Canis lupus familiaris: one gene and its partners. The protein of the gene in region 3 purifies or fractionates together with the protein of the main gene of each other region. This does not show direct contact. Links are inferred from orthologs where the notes say so. Each region holds a gene or a part of one and is shown on either strand. Other genes may lie near its edges.

The links.
Region 1: the proteins of PHF1 (region 3) and histone-binding protein RBBP7 purify together in Homo sapiens (affinity purification with mass spectrometry; 7 studies listed by BioGRID and IntAct, with this or other methods). This does not show direct contact. The link is inferred for Canis lupus familiaris from reciprocal best matches to the Homo sapiens genes PHF1 and RBBP7.
Region 2: the proteins of PHF1 (region 3) and EZH1 purify together in Homo sapiens (affinity purification with mass spectrometry; 5 studies listed by BioGRID and IntAct, with this or other methods). This does not show direct contact. The link is inferred for Canis lupus familiaris from reciprocal best matches to the Homo sapiens genes PHF1 and EZH1.
Region 4: the proteins of PHF1 (region 3) and RBBP4 purify together in Homo sapiens (affinity purification with mass spectrometry; 5 studies listed by BioGRID and IntAct, with this or other methods). This does not show direct contact. The link is inferred for Canis lupus familiaris from reciprocal best matches to the Homo sapiens genes PHF1 and RBBP4.
Region 5: the proteins of PHF1 (region 3) and EED purify together in Homo sapiens (affinity purification with mass spectrometry; 8 studies listed by BioGRID and IntAct, with this or other methods). This does not show direct contact. The link is inferred for Canis lupus familiaris from reciprocal best matches to the Homo sapiens genes PHF1 and EED.

The regions. Positions count from the first base shown.
Region 1 is NC_049260.1:13,088,408-13,092,510, reverse strand, and holds the start of histone-binding protein RBBP7, read left to right. Parts: upstream 1-1,300; 5' UTR 1,301-1,315; coding exon 1,316-1,463; intron 1,464-1,742; coding exon 1,743-1,887; intron 1,888-1,893; exon of another isoform or gene 1,894-2,293; intron 2,294-2,504; exon of another isoform or gene 2,505-3,924; intron 3,925-4,103. UniProt on the Homo sapiens protein: Core histone-binding subunit that may target chromatin remodeling factors, histone acetyltransferases and histone deacetylases to their histone substrates in a manner that is regulated by nucleosomal DNA.
Region 2 is NC_049230.1:20,160,942-20,164,259, reverse strand, and holds part of EZH1 (histone-lysine N-methyltransferase EZH1), read right to left. Parts: intron 2,349-3,318; coding exon 2,170-2,348; intron 1,654-2,169; coding exon 1,558-1,653; intron 1,136-1,557; coding exon 1,054-1,135; intron 397-1,053; coding exon 316-396; intron 1-315.
Region 3 is NC_049233.1:2,998,904-3,003,157, reverse strand, and holds the start of PHF1 (PHD finger protein 1), read right to left. Parts: upstream 2,807-4,254; 5' UTR 2,678-2,806; intron 1,960-2,677; 5' UTR 1,941-1,959; coding exon 1,782-1,940; intron 1,690-1,781; coding exon 1,608-1,689; intron 1,500-1,607; coding exon 1,404-1,499; intron 974-1,403; coding exon 873-973; intron 780-872; coding exon 631-779; intron 431-630; coding exon 335-430; intron 158-334; coding exon 89-157; intron 1-88. Other genes in the region: kinesin-like protein KIFC1, read right to left, coding at 4,071-4,115. UniProt on the Homo sapiens protein: Polycomb group (PcG) that specifically binds histone H3 trimethylated at 'Lys-36' (H3K36me3) and recruits the PRC2 complex. Involved in DNA damage response and is recruited at double-strand breaks (DSBs).
Region 4 is NC_049223.1:68,051,756-68,056,054, reverse strand, and holds the start of RBBP4 (histone-binding protein RBBP4), read left to right. Parts: upstream 1-1,492; 5' UTR 1,493-1,637; coding exon 1,638-1,653; intron 1,654-2,234; coding exon 2,235-2,382; intron 2,383-3,243; exon of another isoform or gene 3,244-3,404; intron 3,405-4,299. Other genes in the region: ZBTB8OS (protein archease), read right to left, coding at 756-888. UniProt on the Homo sapiens protein: Core histone-binding subunit that may target chromatin assembly factors, chromatin remodeling factors and histone deacetylases to their histone substrates in a manner that is regulated by nucleosomal DNA.
Region 5 is NC_049242.1:13,357,253-13,360,410, forward strand, and holds the end of EED (polycomb protein EED), read right to left. Parts: intron 2,234-3,158; coding exon 2,075-2,233; intron 1,413-2,074; coding exon 1,339-1,412; intron 840-1,338; coding exon 713-839; 3' UTR 504-712; downstream 1-503. UniProt on the Homo sapiens protein: Polycomb group (PcG) protein. Component of the PRC2/EED-EZH2 complex, which methylates 'Lys-9' and 'Lys-27' of histone H3, leading to transcriptional repression of the affected target gene.

The DNA of each region.
Region 1 (4,103 bases), on a different chromosome or scaffold from region 3:
TAACAGGGAGGCCCCTCGGCTTTAGCAGTCAAAAAACGCCCGCGGCCTCTGTAAAAGGTTTCCTCAGCCTGCAACGAACCCCACCTCAGCTCGACCGGACCCCGGGAAAAGCCAGTCGACTAGAGGGAAGCCTTTCAGGGTACACAGAATTGCATGCCCGTGATTATCCGGGAGACGTTGAGGGCACAGTAATCTCTCGAGACTAGAAACCATTTTCCTCTCGCTCTGAGATTTTGCTTGGCTAAGCCGCGTCAACCTCCCTGCCCCCCTCCCACCCCACCGCCACGGCCGCTGCAAGCAGCCACGCCCCGCGGCCCCGGGGCTCACAGCCCCCGCGCAGCCCGCACGCCGCGCCCCCATCCGCCCCACCCCCGCGCGCCCCCATCCGCCCCCGCGCCCGGCCCTGGGAGCGCTGGGCGAGCCCTCGCGCCTGCGCCTCGCCAACTTCCTGCCGCGGAACGCCCCGCCCACCCCCAGAAGCCCGCCCACAAATGCCGCGTGAAACCTGCGTGCCGCACCTCATTGGTTGAAACAACCGAGCCGTTGGCTCCCAGGCCCGCCTCTCCACCGCCTCTCACTTTTCCCAGGGCGGATGCGCCTGCGCTCAGCTGCCTGGGCGGGCTGGGAGGCGCGGGTTGAAAAGTCTCGTTCCAAGTTTGGAGAGAGAGAGAAGAGCGCCTCAGACCTCGGTACCCGCGAGCGGGGAGGAGGCAGGAGAGAAGGACGCAGCGTTTGGGGAGCACCCAGGCCGTAAGACGGAGCTCACGCTTCGAGAGCTAGAAGTGTGTGACGCGCCTGGGCGAGGCAGGAACGCCTGCGGTTGGGCTGCTGTTGGCTAGCGAGGGGAGTCCGAGGCGGCGGCGAGGGGCGAACGACCCGACGCAAGATGGCGAGTAAAGAGAGTAAGAGGCCCTGCGGGGCGGCGCGCGCCGGGACCGCGGGGGGCGGCGGGCGCGCGAGGCCGCGGCACGCGCCGGCGAAAGGCGCGAATTGGCGTGAGGAGCAGGGGGCGGGGCCGGGCGCGAGGCTAGGCGCGCGCCTCGAGGGGCCTACAGCGGGACGGGACCGCGGCGCGGAGGGCTCCGAGCACTTCCGGAGCCGGGCGCGGGGCCGCGGGTTGGGCCCCCTTCCCCCTCTGCCCCCCCCCGCTCCCCTCCCCCCCCTCTGGCGGCGGCGCTCCCTCCGGCGCCCTTGGCTCTCGGGCGGAGGCGGCCTCCGCCACCGGAAAGCGGACACGGCTGCTCCTTCCACGCGCGCGCGTCGACCGCTTCGGGGTCGCGGCCCTTGTCCGGGGGATTCTGGCACACGCCGGCCTATGGCTGCTGACGCGGGCTTCGTGGGAGCGGAGGCCGCTCCTGGTGGGGGATGGAGGGAGCGGGCCGAGGGGTTTCTGCTACACGTGGATTCGTCTCCCGGGGTGGGTCGTGGAGCCCCTGCACAGATGGGTCGTCATCTTAGAACAGGTGCGAACAGCTGTAACTGCTGAAACAAAATCGTCGTCTGTGTAATTGCCCAATTCTGTATACGCAAGCAGTATCGATTTCTAAGTGCAAAAAATAAGCTTCCTGGTGTTAATATTCTCCTCACGTTCTGGAAGAGCAGTTAGTTCGTGTCCAAATTAAACGTAAAGCTGAGGAGTAGATTAGGTGTGGCCATCTCGAGGTGACCTCCACTATCTGTGTACAGATTCTAACTCGATTTCTCTCAGCCACTTAATTGTGTGGGATTTCTCCAAATTTCAGTGTTTGAAGATACTGTGGAGGAGCGTGTCATCAATGAAGAATATAAAATCTGGAAGAAGAATACACCGTTTCTGTATGACCTGGTTATGACCCATGCTCTTCAGTGGCCGAGTCTTACCGTTCAGTGGCTTCCTGAAGTGACTAAGTAAGGGTTTCTGGCAACTTTTACTTTGCATAAATTTGACTATTATCCCGAAATTCCTAGTTTTGGCATTTTACACATAGAACATGAGCGTGTAATCAATTTAGCCCTTGCATGAGGTGGCAGGTGATTTTTATTTTCAAAACAAGTGATTTATGGGATGGTTTTTGATATGTAAGCGTGGGGACAAAGTGCGATTAATGATATTTGTGGGGAGCATCTAACGAATTTAACAGTTCTTGGGATTAAATATAGAGCAGCATTTTGGGGACCCAGACTAATGGATTTCTTTAAAACTTTATTGAAAAAGAGCACACGTACAGAAAAATGCACAAATCATAAGCATATGGCTGGATGGATTTTTACGAAGGGAGCACATCCATGTAACCAGCCACCACTATATGAATAGGTTTTTTTTTTTTTTTTTTTTTTTTTTTTTTAATTTATTTATGATAGTCACACAGAGAGAGAGAGAGAGGCAGAGACACAGGCAGAGGGAGAAGCAGGCTCCATGCACCAGGAGCCCGATATGGGATTCGATCCCGGGTCTCCAGGATCGCGCCCCGGGCCAAAGGCAGGCGCCAAACCACTGCGCCACCCAGGGATCCCTATATGAATAGGTTTTAATTGACAAAGGGAAAAAAGAATTTAGCAGTAGTTCACTGAAGAAAAGACGTTACTAGCTGATAGTGTGGAATACACTTGGAGGTTGCTGTTGGTTCTTTTCAGCCGTTTCTAAAATTTCTCTGGTAATAATTGCTGGTATTATTGAACACTTAAAATAGGGCCTGGCACATCTCAACAGTTTTGTGTCCAGTTGTTTAATATTCAGAATTATACTATGAAAAAGTATACTATGATTATTCTTTATCATCTTTGTCTTACTGTTGTGGAAACTGGGGTGGGGGTGTTAAAATACCCAGGATCATCCAGCAAGTGGTGGAGTGGGATTTTGAACCCAAACCGGGTACCCCAGAGTTGAGGCAACTCCTGTATTATTAGACTTTCTTAAGCGCTTGCACTTTTTCTAGTAGGAACTTGGCTGTGTACTTTAAAAGTATTTAATTTGGGTATTGTGAACATATATTTTTAATGAGGATTAACAAAACTAACGTAGGAAGGGGATTTTGAGACAATTTCTGAAAATAAGAGCAAGTTAATTTTCTATGAGGTTACTCCTTTAATGGCCGAATTCTCCATATGCAGACATTGTCTTCCATATAGGTAGAGGCTTTTATTAGGATTCCCCAAAATCAGTGTAAATACACAGATGTGATAAGAATAGCCAAGAAATAAAAAACAGACTTCAAAACACTGACATAACAATTTTGAACATCAAATACTTAAGGGTATTCAGGTTCTCCTTTGAGCACCATGTACTTTTGATTCTTTGTGCACTCCTGTTAAGTAAATTAAAACCTTTAACAGCTTAATTTACATTATTTTGGATCTTTTTGATCTACCTTACCAGCAGAACACAGCGGAGGTGTTTAGGACTCTAAGGTTAGAAACCTGAGTTTGAATCCTGCCGCCTGCTTCTTAATAGCTAAATTAGGGCACATTGGTCAGTCTCTATTCCCAAGCTGTCTGATCTGTAAGTGGAGGTGCTGGTGCTTCTGACTGCCTACTTTTGAGGAAATGAAATAAGATCATGCACTTTTAAAGTGCTGGCACAGAAGAAGTCCGCAATAAGTGGTGACTGATGCTGATTTTCTCCCCCTTTGTATTCAGAAATAATTAGACTGTAGTAACTGTGTTTCTCCATTTGGATTCCAGTGAAAACTGCTTATTCAAGTCTTCTGAAAATGTTATCTGTGTTTTGTGTAACAATTTTAAGGATGTTAAATGTGTATGTTCTTAGCCCGGATACTGCTTTTGAAAAGATTTTTATTTTTAAGTAATCTCTACACCCAACGTGGAGCTCAGATTTACAGCCCTGAGATCAAGAGTCACATGTTCCACCTACTGAGCCCGCCAGCCCCCCGCCAATACTGCTTTTATGTTAACACTTAAGAACTTAACAAAAAATACTTTAAATGATGTATTCCGTGGTGTTCTTTGCATACAAAGAAGTGGGATCTGGTTGTGGGATGTGCAGTTGCTCTGGGAATGCAAGAAAATGCCAGCCAGCCTGCATTCTTGGATGTTGAGGATGGCTGTGTGGTACTTTTGCAGGATTCTACTTGGAGTATGAAGGGACTGTGATTGTGTTTTGTTAC
Region 2 (3,318 bases), on a different chromosome or scaffold from region 3:
CCAGGAAAAACATAAGTGAAGTGTGAGTAAAAACCAGTCAGTGAAGACAGTTGCTTCCTTGCTTTAGATCTATTATTCTGACTGGTGATATAGGAAGATCACCTTCAAAAGATTCTTGTTTGTGGGTAAATCTTTATAATGTATTCAGTGAAGAAAGCCAATTACAAAAGAGACTCAAAATGATACCAGACGTTAATCGTGATTGTCTTTGGACAAAAAATAACTCAGCAATGAAAAAAGGTACATAGTTCATAAAAATCATAGTAAATAAAGCATCCATCACTCACCCTACCTCCCAGGTGACTGGGAACTCACCTTTGGCATAACAGTTGGGGTTCACTGAATGGTTTGCAAATCGAATCTTGTTTCCTTTTCTGGTAGCATCTACTACAAAATCTATATAAAAAAAGATCATGAGCTCACCAGGCAAATCCACAGCTTCTTGAACATGATTTTAAAATCAATTAAACATGGGCAGCCCGGGTGGCTCAGCGGTTTAGCGCTGCCTTCAGCCCAGGCCCTGATCCTGGAGATCCGGGATCAAGTCCCATGTCAGGCTCCCTGCATGGAGCCTGCTTCTCCCTTTACCTCTGTCTCTGCCTCTCATGCTCTCTCTCTCTCTCTCATAAATAAATAAATAAAATCTTTAAAAAATAAAATAAAATCAATTAAACAGTAACAGAAATAATCCAGTGGGAATTTTGAAGTCCAGCAGAAGGCAGTATAAGAATATGGCCTCATGTGGGGCATGTTCTCTTTGGGTTGCCCCATTTGGCTGGAATTATCTTCCCATCTACTGGGTAGGGAAATTTCTGAGATGCAAGTGCTCACTGCAAGTGCTCACTGCTCCAATTATAAGCACTACCCACAAATGGGGGCTCTCCCAAAATGAGTGAACTGTGGCTCATGGGGTCTTAAAGTTCAAGCTCCCCACCTTGCTCTGTGTACCAGCTGGAGAAATCACAGTTGATCTGAACATGGGCTGTAGCAATGGCAAGCTAGTAGAAAGACCTGCCTGAGACTACCTTGGGGCAAGAGAAAGACACTCCATACCATTGTTGAGGTTGAAGAGGAAGCTGGACATGTATTTGTCATAGACCTTCCCCCGTCGATCAGCCTCATCCTGAGAAATAAGCTGCAGAGACAGACAAGGAACAAACAGGGGGATTGGACTGTCTGTTTGGGGCATGGTACCTTGCTCACAGAAAGGACTAAGAGGGGGTAGTGTCACACATAGGTGCTTACTGAGCATCACGATGAGAATCACAGGAGACAGAGCTTGAGGTGGTCCATTCCAATCCCCACCCAGGGTGACCAGCTGGAGACTGAAGAGAGCTCCCTGCCCACCCCCCTTGTGTGGCCTGAGTTGGCAAAGAACTTCAGAAGAGTGATTTATCTCAGGATTGCAAACACTTCTGTGGGATCCCCCAAGAGGCCACACAGGAACTCAGCTGAGTTATTTAGAGAGTAAGTCATAGAAGTCTGGCCCACAGAAAATCAGAGTTTCTCATCAGTATCTCCCCAGATAGGAATGTGGTCCAAACCGATAGCACTCACCTCACCACAGTATTCAGAAATGAATTCGTTTTTTTGCACAGACTCCTTAATGAAGGTGCCCCATCCGGCCACATCTGAGGGGGCCAGCAGCAGGTGCTGGGGAAGAGGGAGTCAAACCTCAGACTACAGGGCATGTGTGAGTGGGCGGGGTATGTCTTGGATGTGCACGTGTGCCAGGGGTGGGCAGGGTGGAAAGAACTAGCAACTGTTAAGAGGATCTGAAAACAGAAAAAGGTCTAAGCCATTCTGTTCTGGGGAGAGGAAAAACAAAGAAGGGAGGTGGCGAAAGGAAATGTGACTCCTCCTCCTCTAGGCCTGGGGGCCTCCTGGACCTGAAGGGTTAGGAACTCACTGCTGCGGATCAAGTAGAAACAGACAATGTCACTGATGGGTGTTCCTCTCTGCTCTCTCGGGCTATTCAGCTCAGGAGTCACTTTCCGAACTCCTCCCCAGGACAGAAAACCACATTAAATCAGTATACATGTATCCTTTAGGATTTGCCAAGCACTGTCACATGAAGCCCTCTGAGGGACCAGTGGAAAGAATCTGCTTGGGGCAACTCCATCTATCCCCCTCCATTACTTGACTCGCAGCCCTGAGAAAAGCCCTCACCTTCTTGAGGCCTCGCTGGATGCTGCAGTTTTTGCAGGAAACCACCTTGCAGTCCCAGTGCTCTGAGGCCCCACATGTGAGGCACAGGTCGGGGTCACACTCTCGCACTGCCAAGTAGCAGGGACATTGCTTGGTGTTGCACTGGGTCTTACAGCGACAGCCAGGAAAACGATTCTGACCTGGGGTGGAGATGGGGGTGGGGGACAAAAGGGAGGGGCAGGTAGGGTTAGGAGCAGAGGCAGCTAATACTGGGGCTCAGGTCTGACTTGAGGGTCAGCAAGGAAGTAAATGTGATGTGCTCAGGGAGATTTTGGCAAAATAGGAAAGAAACTCCCTTGCCAATAATCATACAGTCAAGTTTCTTTCCAGAGAAAATGACTGCCTCCCGACAGTCATGCCTGGGAGTAAAAAAAGCAGGCTTGACCATGGAGATGTGTTTCTTAGAAATTCCTCAACAATGCTCTCCCTCCCCCTTGTTGGTGGAATTTGGAAGGGAGGTGGTTAGTGAACCAGAGAAAATGAAATCAGTGCTTTTCACTGTTAAATCATCACCATCAAAATAAGAATCATTTTGAGAACAGAATGCATCCGTTCTAAGCCACCCTCCACCCATTGCCTTCCCCAGCACAAGTGCCCCTATGCTGTGGCTAAGATCGATATCTGCTATGGGCTAGAAGGTATTTCCAGTACAACTGCCTGGGCACCAAGTTCTGCAAGGTCTGGAGGCTGCTATCAAACTGCTCACCCTTGAGCAGGGAAGGGCACGGTGTGATAAGAAGCAAAAGGGAAGCACATTTAGCCTCTATCTTACTTCTGCTGACATCCAGATGGACTTGATAGGAAAACTCCAAGTATTAAACTAAAACAGCTGTGCATAGAATCATAACCCATATGTGTTGTAACACAACATCCTAGAAAGGGAGGCTGTGATTGTTCCTTAAGGAAAAAGATTCCCTTGGGACACCTGGGTGGCTCAACAGTTGAGCACCTGCCTTTGGCTCAGGGTGGGATCCTGGAGTCCCCGGATCGAGTCCCACATTGGGCTCTCCCTCTGCCTATGTCTCTGCCTCTCTGTTTCTCATGAATAAATAAATATTAAAATAAAAAAAAAGGAAAAAGAGTCCCACGTTTCTTGTTGCTTCCCTGGAA
Region 3 (4,254 bases):
TGATTTGTCAATACAAAAGCCTGGAGAGCCCAAGGTGGGAGGCTGGGGGTGCTGAGAGAGGAGCCATGTGGAGGTGGTGCCCACTCACCAGCGAAGCTGTAGCCTCCTGACCTTCTCAGGGCCACCCCGACACACACAGCATTCGAACTCGTAGAACCTGGAAGTGGGCGAGGGGGAGAGAGCGTGGAGGACTTATGAATAAGGATGGGGTGCGTAGGGGAGGTGAGCTTCAGAGGCTGGGGAGACATGGAGCTGAAGCAGCATGGGGGCCTGAGAGGGTAGAGCAGGGCAAGAGTATTCTCCCTTGGCTCCCAGAGAGCCAGCCCCATCTCACCTGTCCCCGTAGAGGAGCGGCTTGCTCAGACACTGGGTGCAGGCCTCATGGAACCACTGCAGGCAGCTCTGGCACTGCAACATTTTCAGGTTCCACCTGAGAGGGAACACAGGACTGGTGACCTCCAGACACTGCCCCGACCTGAATGGCCCCAAACCCTACTCACCACCTACTTCTGCTTTCTTCAGCACTCCCTTCATCCTATTTTTTCTCCTTCATTCCCCAGGATCCCCCCACCCACTCCATCATTCATTCCCTCCCCACCACTCCTCCACCCCTGTCCCTCATTTACTCACTCCCCAGGGCCACCACAGTAACAGTAGCTCTGCTGTCGGTTGCTCAGATGTCCAGCGTCCCAGTCTAGCCCCTTTAGTCCATATGGCAGTGACAGCTTCATGCCCAGCATGGCCCGGGCATAGGGGCCCTTCTTCAGTGCACCCCCCCTCTGCAGGGAGGAAACAGGCCACCTCAGACGGGTAGGGAACAGGAAGGCTTGGGAGAGGTGGTGGGGGAGGCTCCCACAGAATGGTGACCTTACCTTGGTGGCAATGGCAAAGACACACTGGCGACAGACCCAGGATGTGCCCTCTCCCTCTCCAGGGGCTGGGGCTCTTGGAACGTGGCAGTCCTGGTGATAAGCTGAATAATGATAATATTGATGGTAGACCATTTATTGCACAATATACCTGTGTGTGCTAGTGACTGGGATAGGAGGAGTCTGGGCCACCTCATTTCATCTTTGACTGTGATCTGGCTGCAGTAGATAAGTTACCCTTATTTTACAGGTGAGGAGACAGGCTCCTAGGGGCTTGGGAATTTGCCCAAGGTTTTATGGTTAGTAAAGGTGTATTTGAACCATCCTCTGTCTACAAAGCCCACACCTCCTGATTCCATGGCTATTTCTCCCTGTGCTGGAAGAGAGGTTACAGAGTTGAGCAGACTGGCCAGAGCAGTGGCTTGGGGACTCAGCCAGGACAGGTGGCCTAAGGATCAGTGGTGGAGGGAAGACTTAGAGGCAGCCTGGAAGGTTCAGGGCAAGCTAGACCATTTAGGTATCCTGCCCTCTCACCGTGGCGACACTTCTCACAGCTGACCAGCCGGTTTCCAGGGACCACAGTCTCAGAGCGACAGACACAGCAGAGGAGTTCCTCCCCGGGGAGGGCAGCTGTGAGGGAACAGTGTTGTGGGGCCTGTCCTTAAGCCCCCTTTACATCCCCCAAGCCAGGTTTCTGCTTTCCACAGCATGCATATATTTGGGCCTCTAAGGTCTCACCAGGGCTAATGTCTTTCCATAGAACCAGAAACTGGGAATCGTCCTCAAACTGGACCAGACACACCTCCCGGGAACTGTCCACCTGGAATGGATGAGCACAGGAGATGAAACAGGAATCGGAACTACATAAGGAGAATGGGGGGAAGGTAATAAGTCAGAAGTCAAAGGTCTTACTTTCTTGATGGTCCCCAAGTATAGCAGTCCATCCGTCCACCTGGCCAGCACATCTTGACCCTCCCAAAGTCGAGGCCTGGGGCCTGAGGTGGGAGCAGGGGAGGCTGGGTCCCAAAGTGGGGGGGCACCAGAGCGGCTCAGCCGGGGGGGCTGTGCCATTGCATCCTGGGGGGGGGGGCTATCCAGAAGTGGGATGGGAGAAGGTTATGAATGTTGAGAAACTGTCCCCATTTTTCTATGCCTCAAGGACTCAAGCAGCTGTGCTACCAGTCTCCAAATATGAAATACCTGGATAGGAAATCACACAGCACCCCTCCCAAGCTTCATGACTCCAGCTTTTCCAACTCTGGTGACTGGCTCTCCTCTCCCTAACACCCCCCACCCCCCAACCTAGTTCTCTAGTTTCCCAGCTTCCAGAGCTCCCCTGGGATACTGTATCCTGGCCTTGAGATTTTAGGAGGAATGATGGTTGCAGAAGCAAAGGTTACCATTCAGTTTCTACTGTCACCTTCTGTTTAGAGATACTGTAATTGGGGTGTTCTGCTACCCAGAGAATGTGTTTTGGGAGCTTTTCTGGAAATGTTTTCCAAATTAGAAACGGCTGCCTCCCCGGGCCCCTGTGTCTCCAGAACAATAATCCCGATGCCAGGTTATGGCAGGTCACCCTCAAATACGGGGCTCCCTGTCCCCCGGGTTAGATAACTTCCTTGAGTGCCCTGGGAGGGGGGCGTGTCCCAGTCCCGGTCTCTACTCCCCAGGACAGCGAGTCCGAGAGGGGACTTGAGTCAGCCCAGCGCGAGCTGATGCCTGGGCGGCGAGGCTCTCCCGCCCGCGCCCTGCGCGCCGACCCCCGGCTCCCTGCCCCCCCCCACGGGCGCCTCCCGCCGCCTCCTTACCAGTGACAGCTGGGGCCGCCGGGAGCCGGGCAGAGGCAGACGTGGGAGACCGAGGCGAACCCCCCGCGCGGGGAGGGCACGTCTGGGCGTCGGAGGGCGGGCAGGCAAGGGCCGGGGGGTCCCCAGGCCCAGCCCCTCCGTCCCGGCAGCTCTGGGGCGTATGACGCAGCAGCCAAAGCAGCGGCAGCGGCAGGAGGAGGCGGCGGGGGGAAGGAGGGGAGGGGAGGGGAGGGACAAACCGGCTCGGGGGGAGGGTAGTGGGAGGGGAGGACTGAGGGGAAGGAGGAGCCGGGGGGGGGGCGGGCACCACCTCACCCCACCTCCCTCACCTCCAACGGGCCTGGAGGGCGCCGAACGGGTGGCGGCCTCCCCACGGCTGGGGCGGGTGGAAAGTCAAGACCCAGTGCGAGAGGGAATCCCTGCAGCCCCTTCCTCGGAGGGAGATCCGCCCTCGGGGCAGCAGGGAATCCCCCCCTTCCCCGCAGCTGGTCTCCAGCCTGGCCCCCGCCCCATGCCACATCCGTTAACTGCCCCCCCAACCTCCATGGTCACTCCAAGTCCCGCCCCTCGGCCCCAGTTCACGACCCCGCCCCCCATTCACCCGTCCCGTCGCCCCCGCCACGCCCTCCTCCCTCGAGTGCCCCGCCTTCCTCCCGCCTTTGCCCCGGCCCCGCCCTCCCCGTGGTAAGTCTCCCCCCGCCACACCGCCGCCGCGCTTCTGCGCATGCGTGACCCCTCCCGCGCGCGGCACCTGGGTGGACCGAGCCCCTCCTTTGCCGGGCGGTGGCCGTTGGCGGTTGGCGCGAGCGAGTCAGCGGGCGTGCAGCCCACCCAGCGCCTGTAGGGCGGGTACACGGACCGGGAGAGCTAGTAGCGAGGCGGTAACGCCGCCGAGAGCCAGCCAATGGGCAGCGGGCGGGCCGGCCCCAGTTCTTCGAATGGGACGGCAAGGAAAGAGCGGGAGGGAGAGCCCGCAGTTTGCAGGAGGGCTCGCTGGCCCGGCCTCTGGACTCGGGCTTCCACTTTCCCGCACCCACCAGACGAGCTCTCCGCGTGGAGCTGGGTGGCCTGCGGCAAACCAGTGACGGCGGTCGGCCAGTGGGCACATCTCCTAGAGGCGGACAACCAGGGTAACCATCTAGTCTCCAGGAGATAGCCAGGTAGAGAAAAGCTGAAACCCTTGCTCTGCAAAACACAAATACTCGGCAGAGTAGACGATCCACAGTTCCCATTTTTACAGATACGGGCCATTGTTAACAAAACCTTTATTTAAAGAAAAAAAACTTGTTCTTTATTTGATAGACCCAGGTCACAGAGCGCCCCTCCCCCCAACAAAGCATCCTTCAGCGCCACCCCCACCCCCCCTTCCCAAACAGAGGATCTGGATCTGTCTTCATTTCCTGTTAGCCTGGGCCGTACCAATAACACACTGGTTCACCTGCGGGCAGAGGTTTTAGAATAAAAATATTTTGTGAGTAACCAAAATAACAGTTTTCTCCAAGATCACCCCCCACCCCCAATATTGGGGCTGCCCTCAGAAAATACTAAAACAAAGGCTCTGAAGGCAGATTCAGCCT
Region 4 (4,299 bases), on a different chromosome or scaffold from region 3:
GAAAAATAGAAGTCAGATTTGTGCTCCGCAAACCATAGCAATCTTTAGGGATGATAGCTAAATGTTTAAATAGAAGATCAGAATATGTACTATACTTTTGTGTTTACTATTATCTCATTTACTCCCCAGTTAAGGAACTATGGTGCCATGAGAGATTATATAACTTGCCACAAGTTATGAAGCTGTTCATGGCAAAACCAGGTCTTTTTTTTTTTTTTTTTTTTTTTAAAGATTTTATTTATTTCTTCACGAGAGACACAGAAGAGAAGCGACTCCTCGCAGGAGCCGGAGGCGGGGCTTAATCCCGAATCCCGGGATCACGCCCTGGGTTGAAGGCAGACGCCCAACCGCTGAGCCACCCAGGCATCCCCAAACCAGGTCTTTTTACTAAAAGCACGATCCAGGTAAAACACCAAATTACATGTCCCCTACTCAGCTAAGTCCTCTAACCTAATGATACTCTAACCACCCCACTGTTGGGAAACACATACGGGCGACCACCCGGCAAATGCTTGAAAATACGTTTATCTTTAGAATGAAGACACTGGTAAAATTCCCACGAGGTAATGGGACTAGGTAAATGTAGAAAGAATTCAAGGAACCATAAAAGTGGCAGCCCAGTTTTCTGACTCTCAGGCCAGGTGGCTGTTCCCTTCAGCACTCCCGGCTGAAGCACCTCAGGGGCAAAGCGGAAGGCGAGACCGGAAGACCTGGGCAAGGCGAAAGGGCATGAGAGAAGTGAGCCATCTACTCACACTCGTACTTCCGAATGGCTGGAGGATACTTGGCCTTGATCGCCTTCTGCTCTTCAGTCAAATTGTAATCTCGAATATCTTCCTCTTCCTGCGCCATAATTGCCGCACTGGACACTCTACTTCCGCCCTTCATTAGCTGGACTTCAGCCCTGATTTACAACTTCCGCTCTAGACTCCGCCCCTTGGCACGCGCCCTTAAAGCACCAGGACCCCATTCTCGCAGATAGACTTTATATGGTTAACACTTCTGTCCTAGGACTCGCTGCCGGAAGCACATCTTTAATAGGCTTCGGCCCTATTTCTGCGTTTCTTCATCCGTTCTAAGAACAAAGGAAACATACACACTGGAGGACGTGGGAGGAGGGAGACACTTTAGAACTAAATACCCGCTTGTCTGGGTGGTGAGAAGCCTTTTCTTTTTACCTCACAGAGTCGATAACTACACCCGAAGCCACCCTAGATTTCTCATCTGAGTACTTTTAAAGTGTCGGGAGCTGCACAGCTTTTAAGAAAATGGCTGCCCCCTGGAGAGTGCGGACTAAACCTCTCACGTGACCCGACGCGCGCACTCCCACCGGGTCCGCGCGCGCGCAATCGTAGGAAGTCGGCTCCCGGCCGTGTCGGGGCAGGGGAGGGGCGCGCACCTCGGCACCGCAGAAAGCGACTCTGCGCGTCTGGATAGGCTGCAAACGCGGCTTCCCCGCCCACCCCGCCGTTCGGGACGCTGCGATTGGCCGGTGTTGGCGCGAAGGTGCGCGAGTAGGCCCTCACGCAGGGGCAGCAGGAAACAATAGAGGCCGCGCGCGCAGAGCGAGCGCCTGTAGCCTCCCCGCCCCTCCCGCAGCGCTCGACCCCGGGATCCCCCCGGCTCGCCTGCCCGCCATGGCCGACAAGGAAGGTAAGGGCCGCCCCGGGAGGGCGGGGGGTGCCGGGCTGGCGCCGCGGCCTCGACAGGGCCTAGCAGTGAAGGCAAGCCCGACTCTTGAGTGCTGTCCCCACCATCGAAGGCGTGAGGAGAAATCGCCCCGCGGGCGGGCTAACGGCGCGCCAGTTCCTCCGACACGGAGGCCGGTGGCCGCGGTGTGGAGCTGGTGGGGGGGCCCCGGCGGGTGTTTGGGCCCTCCCCGCGCTCGCTGTCGGCCTGCCCGCCTCTCGCGTTCTGCGTGCGCTGCTCCCTACCCCGGGGGCCGGTGCGCGGGCCTCCGCGCGGGTTCCGTCGATTCAGCGGGAACGCGAGCGTGCTCCCGAGGCCCGGCGCCGGCGCCCGAACAGCTAACGGGAGTGACGCGCCCCGCTAGCCCGAGAGTAATTGCGGGCCCGCGAGGCGGGGAGGGGTGCAGGTCGCTCCGCCTCGGGGACATTTAGACATATCTGCTCCATTTCAGAATCTTGACTTAATAAGCAGTGCCGGTAGCTTTGGAAGCGTTGGCTCGGTTTCCATTTGTGTTCGCTAACTTAATTTGTTTTTTAACTTTTTAGCAGCCTTTGATGACGCAGTAGAGGAACGTGTGATCAACGAAGAGTACAAAATATGGAAAAAGAACACCCCTTTTCTTTACGATTTGGTGATGACCCATGCTCTGGAGTGGCCTAGCCTAACTGCACAGTGGCTTCCAGATGTAACCAGGTGATGTGAATCTCTTGAACGTTATCTTGTGTCCTCCTCAGCGTTGATTTCTCACGTTGATTTTTCCGTGTCTTCCCCCAGTCACCCGAAGAGGGCACGTAATGATAACCTATGGGTGATGTTTTTTTCCTAGGCCAAAAAATAATACAAAATGTAAAAATAGTTTTGCAATGTACCTGATAAGAGAAAACTTGTTTTCTTTTCCTGATAACGAATTGAATAGCCTGTTATAATTACAGTTGGAAAATAATGTAAAATGTGTCAGTTTTCAAAAAAAGCTATGATTTCAGTTCTTTCAGCAAAATATTTGAATTGTAGGTAGTAGCTGGTTAATATAAAGAGGTATATGACATGGTACCTGCCTTCAAGGAGCACAAGTGTAATTGAGGCCCATGTAAACTAATAATTACAGTAACCTATGCTAAAAGCAGTTTTACAGAGATACTTAGGATATTTAGAACTAAGAACTGAAGATGGGGTGGTTTGGGGGTTTTATATAAGGGAATTATGCATAGTGAGAGAGAAATCACATGTAGGGAAGGTCTTAAATGTGACAAGCTTACCTCTAAGAAGGTAAGCTTAATAGTACTTAATTTACTTTCCATTTGTTTAGTCTGCTAGGTGCTATAAATTAGGGTGTACAAGTTTAGATGGACACCTTCCCTGCCTTGATTTCTTGTGTATATAGTATGGTAGATTACCACCCCCCTTATTTGTAGGGAGTATGGCCAAAGATCCCCAGTGGGTGTCTGAAACCACGGATGGTACTGAACTCTGTTATGTTTCTGAACATACATAATTGTGATAAAGCTTAATTTATAAATTAGAAACGGTAAAAGATTAATAGAACAATGGTTATATAGCTTTGTGCAGGGGGCAGTATCGTAGCCAATGAGGTTTATCCGAGGCACGATTATTGCTAATAAAACAATGGTTATAACAACATACCATAATAAAAGCTGAGTGTGATCTCTTGCTGTCAAAATGTTTCACTGTAATCACCCTTCAAGTAATATTGTTGAGAAAATGCCTGTGTGATGAAGTGAGGTGAATGACATGGGCATTGTGATGAAGTATTAAGCTACTTATTTACCTGATAAATCAGAAGGGAGATCATCTACTTCTGGAGGGCATCGTGGTTGACTGTGGGTAACTGAAACCATGGATGGGGGTTTTCTACTGTATTACAGTAAAAAGTATCATAAGAGTAGCACAGTTAAAATGATCAAGGGAAGGAAAAATCACCTCAACTTAGGGTATCATGAAAGGCTTCCAGGAGAAAGTGACAATGCAAAGATGAAGGTGAATTTAAATAATTAAAGGTTTATCAAGACCAAAGTGCCTGTTGGAATAATGGGTTTTCTTTTATAAAATTGCTTCACCATTCAGAGTAACATTTAAAAATTATATTGTGTGCTGAATAACTAAATTCCTTCGAAATTCATCTCTTTCGAGTTCAAAATATGGTTATTAGGCTATGTTTCAGCTCAACAAGTAATAGAAATTTTATTAATTACTTAAACAGGTTGCTACCTTCACAGTGGCATTAAAAAATGAAGAAGTAGAGTTGGAAGCTTTATCATGATCCATGTTCACCTATGGGTCATCAGAATTGCTTGAGCTCGAGGAGCCTGGGTGGCAGTCTGTTAAGTGGCTGACTCTTGGTTTCAGCTCAGGTGGTGGTCTCAGGGTCAGGAGATCGAGCCTGTCACTCTGTACAGAAGACTTCTTCTACCCCTCCCCACACACTCTACTCCCTTGGGCTTGCACTCACTTGCACTCTTTCTTTTTTTTAAGAAAATATATTTATTTTATTTGAGTTCAGGTTAAGTGGAGTCATTTCTGTCAGGAGTTCTCAGTGATAGTCAAATCATTTAGAAACTGGTGGCAGGGGGGATCCCTGGGTGGCTCAGCGGT
Region 5 (3,158 bases), on a different chromosome or scaffold from region 3:
GGCTCAGTCAGTTCAGCGTCTGCCTTTGGCTCAGGTCATGATCCCAGGATCCTGGGATCAAGTCCCACTTTAGGATCCTTGCTCAGCAAGGAGTCTGCTTCTCCCTCTACCACTCCCCCTGCTTGTGATCTCTCTCGAATAAATGAATGAATGAATGAAATCTTTATAAAAAAGAAGCAACAATGTATTTAGGGTACATCTGAGTACTATTCCAGCTGCTTCACTTATTTAATCATTTGATCCTTAATAACCCTATGAGGTAGGTATTCTTATCCCTGTTTCACACAAGAAGAAACTGAGGTAGATGTTAAATTACTTAGCTCAGCTCATGTTTGCAGAGCCAAGACTAAAGTCCGCTTAATCCTAGAGCTTACACTTAATCACTACATTATATAGCTTTCTTCAGTTAAAAGGACTACAAAAATGATCATTACAAAAAAGAAAGGGAATACTTTTATTACTTTCAACATTTCTTTTTATCACAATGAAAATAAACACACAGCTTTACAAAAATAAATTTTTATTAAAAGCAGTAGAGTCTGAGCAGAAGACAGTACAAAGAATGTAAACAATGTAAACATCACTACATTCAGCTCAGCCTGATTGAATGCTGAAAGACAACTCTAAATGCTCTATGTGCCCTTACTAGCAAGATACATTAATTCTATTATACACAGAAAACACACTCTAATTTTGATAAGGAAAAAATATTTTATCGAAGTCGGTCCCAGCGCCAAATACTGGCATCATCACAAACAGCTATAAGAATACTGCTATCCCTGCTAAAACTGGTTTGTCGAATAGCAGCACCACATTTATGATGAGTCAGTGTTGTACATCTAGGAAAAAACAAGACAATAGGTTAAAAGCCATTCATAAATATTGTCAGTAGCAAATTAAACCAACGAATAAGAAAACAAACAGATGTTCCAAGTCATATGGAAAGCATTTAAAATATCACTAAGAGCTCAATCTCTAATTTCATAACATTTGGGTATATTTTAAATTAATAAAAAGAAAGGTGTAACTTGTCACCAAAGTACTCATGATAAACAGCCATTATGAGAATAAAAAATATTTTTAAATAACTGAGTCATATAAATGTTAAAAATGATTTAAGAATGATACTTCAAGGGATCCATGGGTGGCTCAATGGTTGAGCGTCCCAGGTTGTGATCCCGGAGTCCTGGGATTGAGTCCCAATCAGGCTCCAAGCACGGAGCCTCCTTCTCCCTCTATGTGTCTCTGCCTCTCTGTGTCTCTCATGAATAAATTAAATATTGGCATAGCGTTTGAGAAAAAGACAGAAATTATCAATAAAAATTTCTAAATACTTACTTAGCTTTATGAGGATCTTCCACTTCTAAATCCCAAACATAAAGTTTGCCAACCTGATTGCCCAATGCAAGCATCTGTATAAACGTATTTTTAAAAACACCAAATTATTAAAATAGGCTATAGAGCATTCAAATATTCCTAAGATATATTCATATTTCATAAAAACCTCAGTTCCAGACTATGGCTATACTCCTGATTATTTCTATTTCTTTGTATCTTATACTTCTGATTCGTAAATGGATAACAGCAACTTATACTTCAGAGGCATCCTGAGCAAATTAGAAGGCAAATTTATGAAGGACTTTACAATTTACATTGTAGCAAAAGCTACAGACAGCTCCTCCAAAGTTTTCTTATAGAAATAAATACCCAGATAATTTGTTACTACAAATTCATAACACCAATCTCTAAAATTTCTCTAAGCTTTTCTACAAAAAAGCTATTTAAAAAGTTAACATTCAATCACCATAACATTAAATCTTAGTAACAGATGTTATGGAAAGTAAGCACCATTGCCAAGATTGACACCTGTCAACTGCATTTATAATACGCACTGCAAATGGTGTGGAGAGCCTACTCTATAAAGATAGAATAAATAACATCAACGGCTAAAGTAATCAATCACTACAAGATATCAAGGTAGATTCTTAGAGGAAACTGAACATGGATGCACAACAGAGAAAAGTGAAATTACAATGGTCTGAAGTAATTTTAAAATGTAGAAATATGTTGCTACCTTTTGCCAGAAATCCATAGAAAACCTCATGTACCAAATGTCACACTGGCTGTAATCGAATCGCCCAAGAATAGTCACATTAGACTCACTGGGTTTAATTTTATCTATATCATCTTCCATTTTGCCAGGTTTCCAGCACACAATGGCATTTTCACAAGACTTTAGAAGACAGAAATGAGAAAAAATTGTTACATATAGAACTGAAATTTAAAACTTAAAACAAAGCCTTCTTTTCTCTATTATCTTTTTAGAATTGACAGTCTTAAGACCTGGTTATCCATCTAGTAGATACAGTGATATACATTTATTTATATTTACAGAGTCAAGGTCCACACTTGAGGATAAGAGGTCATCTTACAACAGAATTTGACAATATTAAAAAGCATTATATTATCTGGAATATCCATTTTGAAGTCAGAATTTCTTTTCCAAACCAAATTCAGCTCTCAATACTCTGGCATCCAGAGACTTGAGTGTTTTATAACATTTGTTATAAAATATAAAATATAAAATTAAAAAATATATATATAAAATTATATGTTATAAAATATAAAATTATAATTTATAAAATTATAAACGATAAAATTATAAAAACTCTATACAAAAATATGCTTTTCAGTATGGCCCCTGCTTAGAGGCCTTAAAAATCATATTATATAGAAGGTAATAAACTCAGTGGTTTAAATCAAGACATTGATATGGGGATACGACTGAAATAGACTAAGTTATACTTTTCTTATTCTGTAACATAGTATCTTTGCTGAAAAAAAACTGCAACACAGTGGGCACTATTCATATTATAGGTCAGTGGTGTGCCAATTAAGGAACATTTGGCAATGTCCCTGGCCTTTAGCAGGTAGAGGCCAGAGATGCTGCTACATCCTACAATCAATATACAGGATGGCCCCTCCCATTAAAAATAAAGATTGTGTAGCCCAGTATTTCAACAGAACCTGGACTGAGAAATTCCTGTTGGTAGAGAGCTTTCCGGAGTTTTACAGGACACAGCCCACACAGCCACATGTTGCAGCTCTGCCCGTTTCACTAACATATGAATGGTTCAAAAGCAGGGCCAAAGGAAGAT